3 linked regions of the Callithrix jacchus genome follow. The protein of the gene in region 1 interacts with the protein of each later gene in a pairwise test. Links are inferred from orthologs where the notes say so. Each region holds a gene or a part of one and is shown in the gene's direction. Other genes may lie near its edges.

What was found.
Region 2: the proteins of BMAL2 (region 1) and EPAS1 interact in binary tests that used the Homo sapiens proteins (3 or more experiments, as listed by UniProt). The link is inferred for Callithrix jacchus from reciprocal best matches to the Homo sapiens genes BMAL2 and EPAS1.
Region 3: the proteins of BMAL2 (region 1) and CLOCK interact in binary tests that used the Homo sapiens proteins (3 or more experiments, as listed by UniProt). The link is inferred for Callithrix jacchus from reciprocal best matches to the Homo sapiens genes BMAL2 and CLOCK.

The regions. Positions count from the first base shown.
Region 1 is NC_133510.1:43,898,903-43,903,293, reverse strand, and holds the start of BMAL2 (basic helix-loop-helix ARNT-like protein 2), read left to right. Parts: upstream 1-1,562; 5' UTR 1,563-1,577; coding exon 1,578-1,788; intron 1,789-1,964; exon of another isoform or gene 1,965-2,285; intron 2,286-4,391. UniProt on the Homo sapiens protein: Transcriptional activator which forms a core component of the circadian clock.
Region 2 is NC_133515.1:68,421,152-68,424,779, reverse strand, and holds part of EPAS1 (endothelial PAS domain-containing protein 1), read left to right. Parts: intron 1-1,643; coding exon 1,644-1,795; intron 1,796-2,194; coding exon 2,195-2,279; intron 2,280-3,628.
Region 3 is NC_133504.1:141,310,481-141,314,108, forward strand, and holds part of CLOCK (circadian locomoter output cycles protein kaput), read left to right. Parts: intron 1-3,263; coding exon 3,264-3,416; intron 3,417-3,628. UniProt on the Homo sapiens protein: Transcriptional activator which forms a core component of the circadian clock.

The DNA.
Region 1 (4,391 bases):
TCCAAGTCAAAGGTAGGGGTGAGATGTTTCAAGAATGGTTTTGATTAGGGATGTGTCTTGGTGTGTGTTACTGAGGACAGCACAGTGTTCAGCAGCTGTCCCTTACCTCTAGCTGCATACAGTCCTAGTCCCCTGCTTAAGTCTGCAACAGTTTTCTCCTGTCATGCCTACTCGTCTTGGGAACATACTTCCAAACCCCTTGCCCAGACTCTAACAATGGCCCTAAGTACTGCCCTGAGGACACATAAGCTGCTGGTTAAGACGTTGGAATTGAGTCCTTGTAGGAAAATTATTATATGTAGGCTGGTTGCAAAGCTTGATTTTGTGTCTTCTCTATTGTGCCTTTCCTTTACTACTTCTACTAGGTTACCAAGCCTACTTGGGTCTAGGGACTGCAAGTTTCTTTAAACTGGCCACACCATAGACAATACCCTAAATCGAGCCATGGTGACCCTCATGATCCACACATACAGCTCTGGATGGCCTCCTGGAATCAGAAAATGTTTAGTAACTGGAAGACCATGAAAAGGGGAAGAATGATCCACCCCTGCAGCGCCTAATTAACTTGAGACATTCTTCTATTGTTCCTTATTCCTGCCTCAATTGATAAGGCAATTGGACTTTGTAGCCAAGCTTAGTCAACCTCGTGACTCCAGACCCAACGACCCCCTCCCAGCTTGCAAAAACCTCCCTAAACTGTAACTTCTGTAACTTTCCACTGCCTACCCTAAACCTATAAAAACAACTCTGATCCCACCACCCTGCACTGACTCTCTTTTCGACTCAGCCCACCTGCAGCCAGGTGAGTAGACAGCCATGTTTAGGGGGTCTCTTCATTCAGAGAGCGCTTAACAGGGAGCAGTGGGAGGGCAGCGAACCAGTGTATTCTAGACATTAGCCATAAGGATGTAGGGCTGTGAAGTGATCCCCAAAAGATTTTGTTTCTGGATTTACCCAACCATTCCAGGCGGCAAAACGGCTTCCTTGGGGACCCTCTCTCCATCCTCTACACCCTCGTCTCTGCAGCTAAGCCCTTCCTTAAGCAGAAAAGAGCAGGGTCTCTCGTCCAGCAACCCCTCCCCAACCCCGGCCCCGTGCCCTCCGCTAGCCCGCCGTGCAAGGATCTTCATTCACCCTTTACCTCTGCCCCGAAGGTCTACAACTGCAGTCTTCGGAACGCCGGGGCAAAGCCTACCAAGAGCATGGAAGCCTGTTTTCAATGGGCGGGTTGCTAGAAAGACTCAACTGGCCTTTTAGCGCCTTGCGGCTCGTGGGAGGGCTCGGCGGGGCGGTGTCCGCGGCGACTCCGCCCTTCGCCCGGGTCCCGTTCCCGCCGGGGAGCCCCGGGGCGCCCAGAACGGCGGGCGGCTGGCCCCAGTCCGCATGCTCAGTAACCGCGGCCGGCCGGGCTGCGGGGAGGCGTCGGCTGCGCGCCCAGGGGCTGCGGTGGCGGCCGCCGCGGCACCGGGCAGGGCCCGCCAGTCCCCGCTTCCCCGCTCTGGAGCCTCCGCCTGGGCCGGGGCAGGGCGGGCCCGGGGCTCCTCCATGTTGCCAGCCGCGGGGCTGCGGAGCCTGCGATGGCGGCGGAAGAGGAGGCTGCGGCGGGAGGTGAGGTTGCGGGCTGCGAGACGGCCGCCCCGGGTGGGCGCGCGGCGCCTGACGCTCTGGGAGCGCCGCTGGGACGCCAGGTCTGCCCGCTCTGCGCAGAGGGAAGCGCCCGCCCCTGTCCCCTCCGGCCCGGCGTCGCCTCCGAGGGGCGCTGGAACAAGGCCGCCCCGGGGGGCACAGGTGCGGCGCGGCCCCCAGCGCGTCCTCCGAGGGCGCGGGATGTGGGGAGGGGACCCGGGGTCGCCGCGGGCGCTCAGGACGCGGTGTCTGTCTGGGTCCCGAGCCAGCTGCATTGGCTAAAGGGAGCCGGCCACGGACCCTGCACCCTGGGATGGGATCAGCCGCCTCCGCCCACCGCTGGGCGCCCGCCTCGGCGTCGGCCAGGCTTGCACTGCCGCGGGGACTTTCTACGTCTCTTCTTTCTTTCGTGTAAAACAATTGTCAGCAGCCGTGGACGGAACCCGGGTCATGCGAACCACTCCCCTGTGAGCTGAAAACACTCGCGGCTTCCCTGCTTGAACCGCTGCCCCGCGGAGGAGCGCGCAGGCGGGCAGGTGCGCGTGGACTGGGGGCTACACTCCGGGACCGCGACAGCCCTCCGTCAGCGACACCTTCTACCACTGCAGCTTCAGGAAAGTCGTCAGTGGAGTTAGCTTGTTCGATGATATATTTCTGAGGTATTTTTGTGAACAGAGTAGGGAGTTTGCTGTGCTTTCTCCATCTCGCTAGTATTCACCGGCCGTATTCTGTGGTTTCTTACAACGGGGCCTTTGGGACCACTGCTCACAATTATGGAATGATTATAAAATAGCTGTTAAGACCAGTGGGAGGCAGGAAAACAGAAATAACAAAGGAAGATTGGCAGAGAAGTTCAGGGAAGCGGTTAATTTTCCCCTTTCCTTTTGGAATAAGGTGGTAGAGTTTTAGATACTTCTCGGAAATAAGGCCATGAGAGGAGGTGGCTTTCGAAATTCTAATATAATTGTGGGAATTTAGATCGTGGGAAGATTTGAGAAATACCGTCATTTGAATATGAGTAGTTTTAGGTAAACCCTTTGTTGAGAATAGAAGATGGCATGTCTGGTGTTAAGCTCTGACCCCCTTTTTGCTCTGTCTTGTGATTGAGTTCTGCCCTTTACTGTCTGTGTCACCCAGGTTATTTGAATTCCCTTAGTCTAAGTTCTCCCATCTGTAAAATAGAGATAACTATGCAGTCCACCTTATAGGATTGCTAGGATTAAATGAGATATGAATACAAATAAAATGCTTAGCCGGATGCTGAGGAAATAGTATTTCATAAAACATTAGCTTAATGTAGTTATTAATTTACAACTCCAATTTGCTTTGTGAAATTGGTGAGTCCTGTCTGGTCCATTAAGAAAGGGAAGGAGAGAGGAAGGGGAAGGGGAAAAGGATGGGGGAAAGAAAGAAGGAAGAAAATGCACCTACTAATTCAAAGAACAACTTTCCCCAGAGAATTCTTACGGACCTAGAACATACAAGCTTTTAGATAAAGTTTATTGTTATTTATCTAACTATTTTAGATTGCTCTTTGCATATCAAATGTAAAGTTGGGAATAATAACACTTGAATTTTCTTAGTTAAGGGTAGCAATGTTTCTGTGGAGGCTGGGAGAGCCTGAAGGTTTGATGAGTACCTAAGATGTCCCAGACATTTCACAAGGGGTGCTTCCTTTAGTCTTACAGAAGCTTTGTGATGTAGGTGGTATCTCCATTTCACAGATGAGAAAACTGAGGCTGGCTCACATTTATACAGCCAGGATGTGACACAACTAGTTAAAATCCATGGGGGTCAATGATACTGCTTTGGTTTCTTTCTCATCTGAGTTGGTGGTGCTAATGAGCAAGTGTGCTCACTTCCAGACACCTGTTTATCTAAAAGAAAATAAAATTCTCAATGGAAGGCTCTAGGAAAAATACAATGTATGTATATTTTTACTCTTTCTCCCTATCCCCAGAGGGAAAACATAAACAGGCCTCCCGGCCAGTTGGTGGCCCTCTACAAAACTGGGTCTAAGGTTTTTGTTTTAACAGTGCAAGCCAAACTGTGGGCTTCCCCATCCCATCTGTTTTAGACGGTAAACACCGAAATTGAGCATGCTGCCAAGTGACTGGGTCTCCTGATAAATGATTCCAGAATCCTTGGAGTTAGGAAGAGGGTGGTCTTGGGGAGCATCACATTTCCAAGACTGCTGGCCAGAGATGATCTGGGGTCAAGGCATTGGCAGGGCAGCTTTCTCCTCTTCCCTTTTCTTACCATTTCATGTTTTCGCCTATGATATTATAAGATCCAACTCTTTTATGTGTAGTTCTGCAATTATAGTGGTTTAAATTCATTTTGTGAGTCAGAAATCAAAAGTCATGTCCCAATCAATCTTTCATAAGCTGCTGTTCCTGGCATGGATCCTTGGGCAAAATTTTAGCCAGGAATGCTTGACTCAAGATAAACTAGGATGGGCTAATTAATATTTAAGGGGGAGGAAAAGAGAGAAGGGAAGCGAGAAAGATTGAGAGAGGAGGGAGAAGAAGGAAGGTGGGCAAGTGTGAAGTAAAGAGAGGAGAGGGAAAAGGAAGAAGGAGAGAGTGAAGGAAGGAGATGGAGGGGAGGGGAGGGGAGGGGAGGGACTGACACTCCATCAAAGTTTGACTCCAGGAAAAACAAAAACTAATGTTTAAAATGTATAGGGAAAGCCAAAATGTCAGTAGGATAAGAGTGATTTCAGTGTACTTTATCGTTGTGAAATGACTCCCTGGTTCTAAAAA
Region 2 (3,628 bases), on another chromosome or scaffold:
CATTTTAAGTTCCTTAGAATAGTCTCCATTTGAAAGGCTCCTGTTAAGTGAATATTAATGTTTGCAAGTGACAAATTACTCTCTAATCCCCTTGTTTGATAAATCAAGTGAGGCATACTTGGATTGACATTTGCACTAAATGAATACAAATTTTCATAAGTAAATGTCTTTAGAGTTAAATAATGAACTAGGAGAAGAAGGCTGAAATAAAGCCTGTGGTCTGTGTACAACAACCAAAGGCCTGGGGCCCAAGAAGTTTTTTTTTTTTTTTTGGTCTGGATAAGAGCTGGGTCTTTATTTTTCAGAGAGCAGAGGTATACTTGATAGGCCAGGATACTCAAAGTGTGGACGATTAGGGGTGGAAGCTTTCCCAGGCTGCTCCCAGCAACTACTGGTATAGCCTGCCGGGGATGCAGCTGCCTGCTCACTCTCTTCGGCACGTCTGGGTTTCACTCTCTCCAAACCATTTTGTATGCCATTGCCAGACTCATCTCCCCAAAGCAATGCTTTGAGATGCACTCCTCTGCTCACATTTGCTTGAAATGTGAGGCCCCTCTGGGACACTGGGCCAGCCTCACCACACCAAATCCTTAAGACTGGGAAATGGATTCTCCTCTTCAGCCAAATGGGCCTCACCTCAGTCCCTGGTCACCCAATCCCATCTGGTTCAGAAGGCCCTTCTTTCATTCTACAGAGTGAAATCTCTGTTTCTAAATCTCTTTAAAACTTCTTTGGAATAGTTAGCTGTCTGTGATCGCCCCAAAGCAATCTCCTCCTCCTCTGACCCTTAGCGCTCTTCCCATCTATACTTTTCCTTGGGAGCCCAGCTATCACACCCTTGAACTTTTACTTAGCTTTGCATCTCTGAGTGCTACATATTCCTCACCTGGGATCTGAGCAATTTGAGGATAGTGTGTGTCTTGGAGCAGAAAGAAGAAAGAATTCACTGTTATTGAATTCGCTGTTTTAGGCACTTTACGTACTTATCTAATTCTTACAATTCAGAGATGAAAATTGTTATTTCCATTTAGCTAATGAGGAAAGTGATATTCAAAGAGGTTGTTACTTATCCAGAGTCACAGCCTAATAGGAGGCCGATCTAGGAACAGAACCTGTGTTTAACTCCAAAGCCTATGAATAGCTTCTGGATTCTGCTGTCGAAGCTTGCTAGCTTTACAATCTTTATACCTTTGGACAAATGGCTTAACCTCTCTATACTTCATCTGTAAAATGAGATTAAATAGTGTCTCCCTCGTAGGTCATTGTGAAGATCACATAGGATTCTTAGTGCAGTGCCTTTCATGTAGTAACTGCAATATATATTAGCTGCTAAAATTTTTGTTCTACTACTACGACCACCATTATATCCACAGCTACTACTGCTGCCGTTACTAGTGCCACAAATACTGTTGTCATGACAAGCACGCTGTCATCACAGCCCCAATCAGGGTGTCCTCTGTGCAGCGGTGCTCATCCAGTGCCTACTGCCAGGCTGGGGCAGACTTTCAGGTGGTCGGCAGTGTGTGTTTCCAGAAAAGTCCACCTGATGCCTTTGCGCCATCCCTGGCAAATGCCTACCTGTGCCAGTCACACTTGTTTTCACTCCACATTCATGCAAGCTGTCCCACCCACTGTCTTTCCAGTTTGCTCTGAAAACGAGTCTGAAGCCGAAGCTGACCAGCAGATGGACAACTTGTACCTGAAAGCTTTGGAGGGTTTCATTGCTGTGGTGACCCAAGATGGTGACATGATCTTTCTGTCAGAAAACATCAGCAAGTTCATGGGACTCACACAGGTGACACCCTCCTCTGTCTCTTTCAAAAGGAGAAATGTTTCCATTCGGGGACAGAAATGAGTGTAAGGTGCTAGCCACAATCCCACTTGACCTCTCCCTGCAAAGGCCACTGCCACCCTCGCTGACCTCAGGCCACACTGCCATCCGCAAGCCCTGGGTTTGGCTTTGCTAATGTCCAGCCTGGTGGACAGCTCTCTACTGACTAATTAATAGACCTGTCATCATCAGTAGGTCCCTATTACATCTTTCTGTCTGTGGACCTAACACTGGACTGAGATTATGAGAAAACCTGATTCAGTCTCCTCCCTGCCTCCATATTTGGAAGGTGGCTCAGCCTTCTCTTGGAGTCTTTTACTTCACTGTTAGGAATAATGCAGCCTAACCTTGTTTTTGAAACAGGTGGAGCTAACAGGACATAGCATCTTCGACTTCACTCATCCCTGTGACCATGAGGAGATTCGTGAGAACCTGAGTCTCAAAAACGGTATCCTTGATTGTGTGTTTACTTCCTTCTTGCCCCCACTGGGTGGGAATCTGCCTCCACTTTGTCTATAAGGGAGACAGCTCATGGCCCTTGTGATGCAGGAAAAATGGATGTCCTTAAAAAAATTAGCTAAGCTGGCCCTCTGTTTAAGCGTGTAACCTGTGAGATGAGATTGGGGCATTGAGAGGACCCAGTACTCAGAAATATCTCCTGCTGGTCCCGCATGATGCTGGTGTCCCACTACTAGGGGACTCCTTTGGGTTAGGATACTGTTTCTAGGACATTTCATCACCCAAGAGTCAAGCGTCTCTGCCAAATGATACCACCCAAACCAATGACAAACTAGTCTGTGCCAAAGTGCTCATAGGAATGCCTGCAGTTATCTACTGCTGTGTAACAAACTACCTGAAACACAGGGCTTTGATGATTATCTCCAGGGTCCTGTGGGTTTAATGGGTGGCTCTTGTGCTCCACGTGATGTCAGCTGGGCTACAGTCACCTGGGGGTCAGAATAGCCTGGGGTGATCAGATGGCTCACACACGACTGGGACTTTATGGCAGGTGGCTAGAATGGGCTTAGTTGGGATGCTGGGACAACTGGACTGTTTTCTCACTCCATGGAGTCATAGAGACTCTCTCCATATGGTGTCTCTAGGGTAGCCAGACCTCTCATGTGGCAGCTCCGGGCTCCAAGAAGCACTAAAGTGGAAGTTGCCAGGCCTTCCCAAGGCTTTGTGCCCAAATTGGCAGAGCATCACTTCCGCCCCATCTTGTTGGTTAGAGCACGCTACAGGCCGGCCCTGGTTCAGTGTGGGAGGAAACTACACAAGGCCATGTCGAAAGGCATGGCTCGTTGGAGCCACTTTCAGAGATGAGCTAGTGCAGGAAATGGTGCCCTGAGGAGACATAGGTCAGGTAGGTTTTGACAGAGAAGAGATTTAAAAAGATCCGGTGTACAGGACCTTACTCATGGGGATACCCAGCAGGTGCCAGTGGATGAGAGGACCCACACAGGCTGCAAGCACATTGCAGTGACAGTGGAGCTTCCTCTCCTATAACTGGCCATTCAACAAAAGCATGAATGGAGACATTGTTAAGAGGACTGAAGCTTTGGGCAGCAGAGTAGGGCTCAATGACTGTCAAGGTCCCTTCTAAACCTGTGGTCTGTCACTGGTCTGGGCAGATTCTGTGCATGCCTAGATGTCTTCTTTAACATCCTTACCTGTCACTGCCATGGGACTTGTGCTTGTCCAACCTAACAGAGGCAGTGAGACTAAGCCTACAAGGTTTGGCTCTTGTTACCACACACACTGCAAAAGCAGACACTTCATTGGCTCACCTCACCCTAT
Region 3 (3,628 bases), on another chromosome or scaffold:
CAAAAGTGACACTCTTACTTGTAGCCTAACTTCCCAACTTGTAATATATGACTCTGTACTCATTCAGTGCCTCAAACACATTAAAAATACCACAGACCGTCTCTACTAAAAATAGAAAAATTAGCTGGGCATGGTGGCGCATGCCTGTAGTCCCAGCTACTCGGGAGGCTGAGGCAGGAGAATTGCTTGAACCCAGGAGGCGGAGGTTACAGTGAGCCGAAATCACGCCATTGCACTCCAGCCTGAGTAACAAGAGTGAAACTCCGTCTCAAAAAAAAAAATACCACAGAGAAGTAGTATTTTTCTTCAACTTCTTTGCCTTGTTTGGCATTAAATATACCCTAACTTAGCAGTATCTTGATCTTAAGGAATGATCATTAATAATAGGTTAAAAACAGTATTTTTTAAAAATAGCTCTACATATATAACTATGATAAGAGATACATACTTTCTATGTTACTAGTTCTTTAATCTCAAGATTCTAAAGCATTTCTTAACATGTTATAGGGATATTTTCATGAAATAAAAAATATATACTGTCAAAAATGTTAGCAAGTATTCATATCTCACATTTTATTCACTAATAAAGCCAAATGTTTTGCCTCTTAGTTCTGTGATTTTACTTCCTGTTGTCCTGCCTTCTGTGTTTACTATTTTCTTTTTGTATTTGATAGAAATCCTTTAAGTGATAGCAATATAATGCTTACCCAAAGGAACAAATAACTTTAGTTATAAAAAAATACATTTGTATTACATAAACGTAACTTTATTTTTATTTTTTGAGACAAGGTCTCACCCTGTCACCCAGGCTGGAGTGCAGTGGTGCAATATCAGCTCACTGCAACCTCTGCTTGCTGGGCTCAGGTGATCCTCCTGCCTCAGCCTCCCAAGTAGCTAGGACTACAGGTGCACGCCACCAAACCTGGCTAATTTTTATATTTTTAGTGGAGACAGCGTTTTGCCATGTTGATCAGGCTGGTGTCAAACTCCTGGACTCAACCATTCTACCCGCCTCAGGCTCCCAAAGTCCTGGGATTACAGCTGTGAACAGCCATGCCCGCCATAAATATAACATTTTGACTAGTACAAAAAAATAAAGCCTTGAGGGAGTTGAGGTACTAAATTTTTAATATTTTCTCAAACCTAGTATAATTTAATATATGTTATGGTCTGATTATTGTTAATTTCTGAAGTCAAGAGTTGTCTGCTTTGAAATGTAATGCAGTATCCCAAATACAAACTATTGAAGAGAGAGTTAAAAAGCTTTGGATGGGAAGGACATTTCTCACTTTTACATACAGTTCGCTGTAAGAGGCTACTTTAAGACAGATTTCCAGTAAAGTGAAATTCTGCTCTTATACTATATCATACACTGAAAATTCGTGGGACTAATTAAAGAGCCTGTATAGACTTAAGAGATGAATCACCAAATGTGGCTAAATTATAAGCAGAAGAAAATAGGAGCTGCTCATGACTCAAGTAAAACAGAGAAATAAGTAAGATTGAAAACATAATTTTGTTTTCATTCCTGTATGCATTTATTTACTCATTCGTACTTGTGTAGTCTTTGAAAGTTCATGTTCTGTTAAATGAAAGTTGCCAGGTGGAAGTCCAAAGAAAAAAAAAAAGGTCATGTTCTATATGTGTCTGAGGATAGCTTCCATTGAAGTGAAAATATTATTATTGGTTATCTGTCAGATTTTTATAACTTTGGGTACTTCTACTCATGTACATATAGAGGACATTCTAGGGATGACAGAAATTGATAGGAATTAACTCCAGGTGCAGACTCCTTTTTCCTTTGTTGAGGGGTAAAAATGAAGCTAAGAAGTTAAATAAGGCTGGGCATGGTGGCTTGTAGGAGGACTGTCTGAGCCCAGGAGTTCAACACCAGACTGGGCAACATCATGAGACCCCATCTCTTAAAAAAAAAAAAAAAAATAGCTGGGCATGGTGGGACATGCCTGTAGTCCCAGCCACTTGGGAGGCTGAAGTGGGAGGAATGCTTGAGCCTGGGTGGTTGAGGCTGCAGTGAGCCATGATCATATCACTGCATTCCAGCCTGGGTGACGCTGTCTCCAACAAAAAAAAAAAAAAAAAAAAAAAAAAAGGTTAAATAATTTTTTCCAGTAATTGGTAACCACAATATGAGCTCAGGTCTCGTAAATCCAGGGTGTGTGTGTATCAGTCCAGATCCAGTGAGAAACCAGAAGCATACCAGAAATTTGAATAGGAATAATATAAAAAAATTATTAACTGGCAACAGGGATTAACTCCTAAAAGAAGTAAAGAAAACTTAAAGAATACAGGAATAAGGCTGGGTATGGTGGCTCATGCCTATATTCTCAGAACTTTGAAAGGCCAAGGTAGGAGGACTGCTTGATCCAGTGAGTTCAAGACCAGCATGGGCAACATAGCAAATCCATATTTCTACAAAAAATATATATATTTAAATTTGTTAGGTGTGGTGATGCATGCTTATAGTCCCAGCCACTGAGGAGGCTGAAATGGGAGTATCTCTTGAACCCAGAAGGTCAAGGCTTGCAGTGAGCCATGATTTGCACAACTGCTCTCCAGCCTGGGTGACAGAGCAAGATGGTGTCTCAAAAAAAAGAATATGTAATTATCAGATGCAGAGAGCAGCCACTTAACTAAGACAGATGGAGAGTACCCAAGGAAGGAACATTCTTAGAAGACTCCCCATAAGCTCCTAACCTCTTCACCTCCTCTTCCCCCATGCCAAGCTGAGATGCAGATCTTCTTGGGGAAGATGTGGCTATAACAAGTGGATAATGGAGAAGTTCACTGACATGCCACAGATTAGAGCTAGAGAGCTGGAAACCAGGCTGGGGTACTGGTAAAGCTTGCAGGGAAGCTGCCCACTAGGATGTCATTGAGACTTGCTGGAAAGCCGCCAGCTAGGGAGCTAACAAGCCTAACTGGGAAGCTTCCCACTGGTACCCCAACACGAGAGCAAGAAGAAAAAGCACCAGAACCAGGAGTCCAGCACCTTTGTTTGCAGTATCCGTCCAGCACCATCTACTGACATGGATAACTTTGTGCCTGTTGGCAAAGGAGAAATATTTTTAAGGTCCAGGTCCAATATCACAAAGCAGAGCAAAGGTGGGTGGATTAGGAACTAAGAGGCTTAACTGGCATAACATTCTTAACTCATGTTACACTGCTTACTTTTCTCGTTGCACAATTATAAGGAGTAAGTAATTCTAAAATATGTTGTTATTTTTCCATATGTGGTACTTCAGTTTCAGTTTTCAGCTCAATTAGGAGCCATGCAGCATCTGAAAGACCAGCTGGAACAACGGACACGCATGATAGAAGCAAATATTCATCGGCAACAAGAAGAACTAAGGAAAATTCAAGAACAACTTCAGATGGTCCATGGTCAGGGGCTCCAGGTAATTGTTATATTTGAATACAAAGCAAGCATCCCATTCATATTTTGGATTTTTGGGAAAATTAACTTTTCTTAATTAAAAGTGAGATGCAAGAGATACATTTTATCAATTCTGTTCAATAAATATTCACTGGTTACCTACTCAGTATGATTATGTGTAAGGATTCAGTCAGGCTGGTGGGAGAAATTTTAGTTATAGAGAATATACACAAA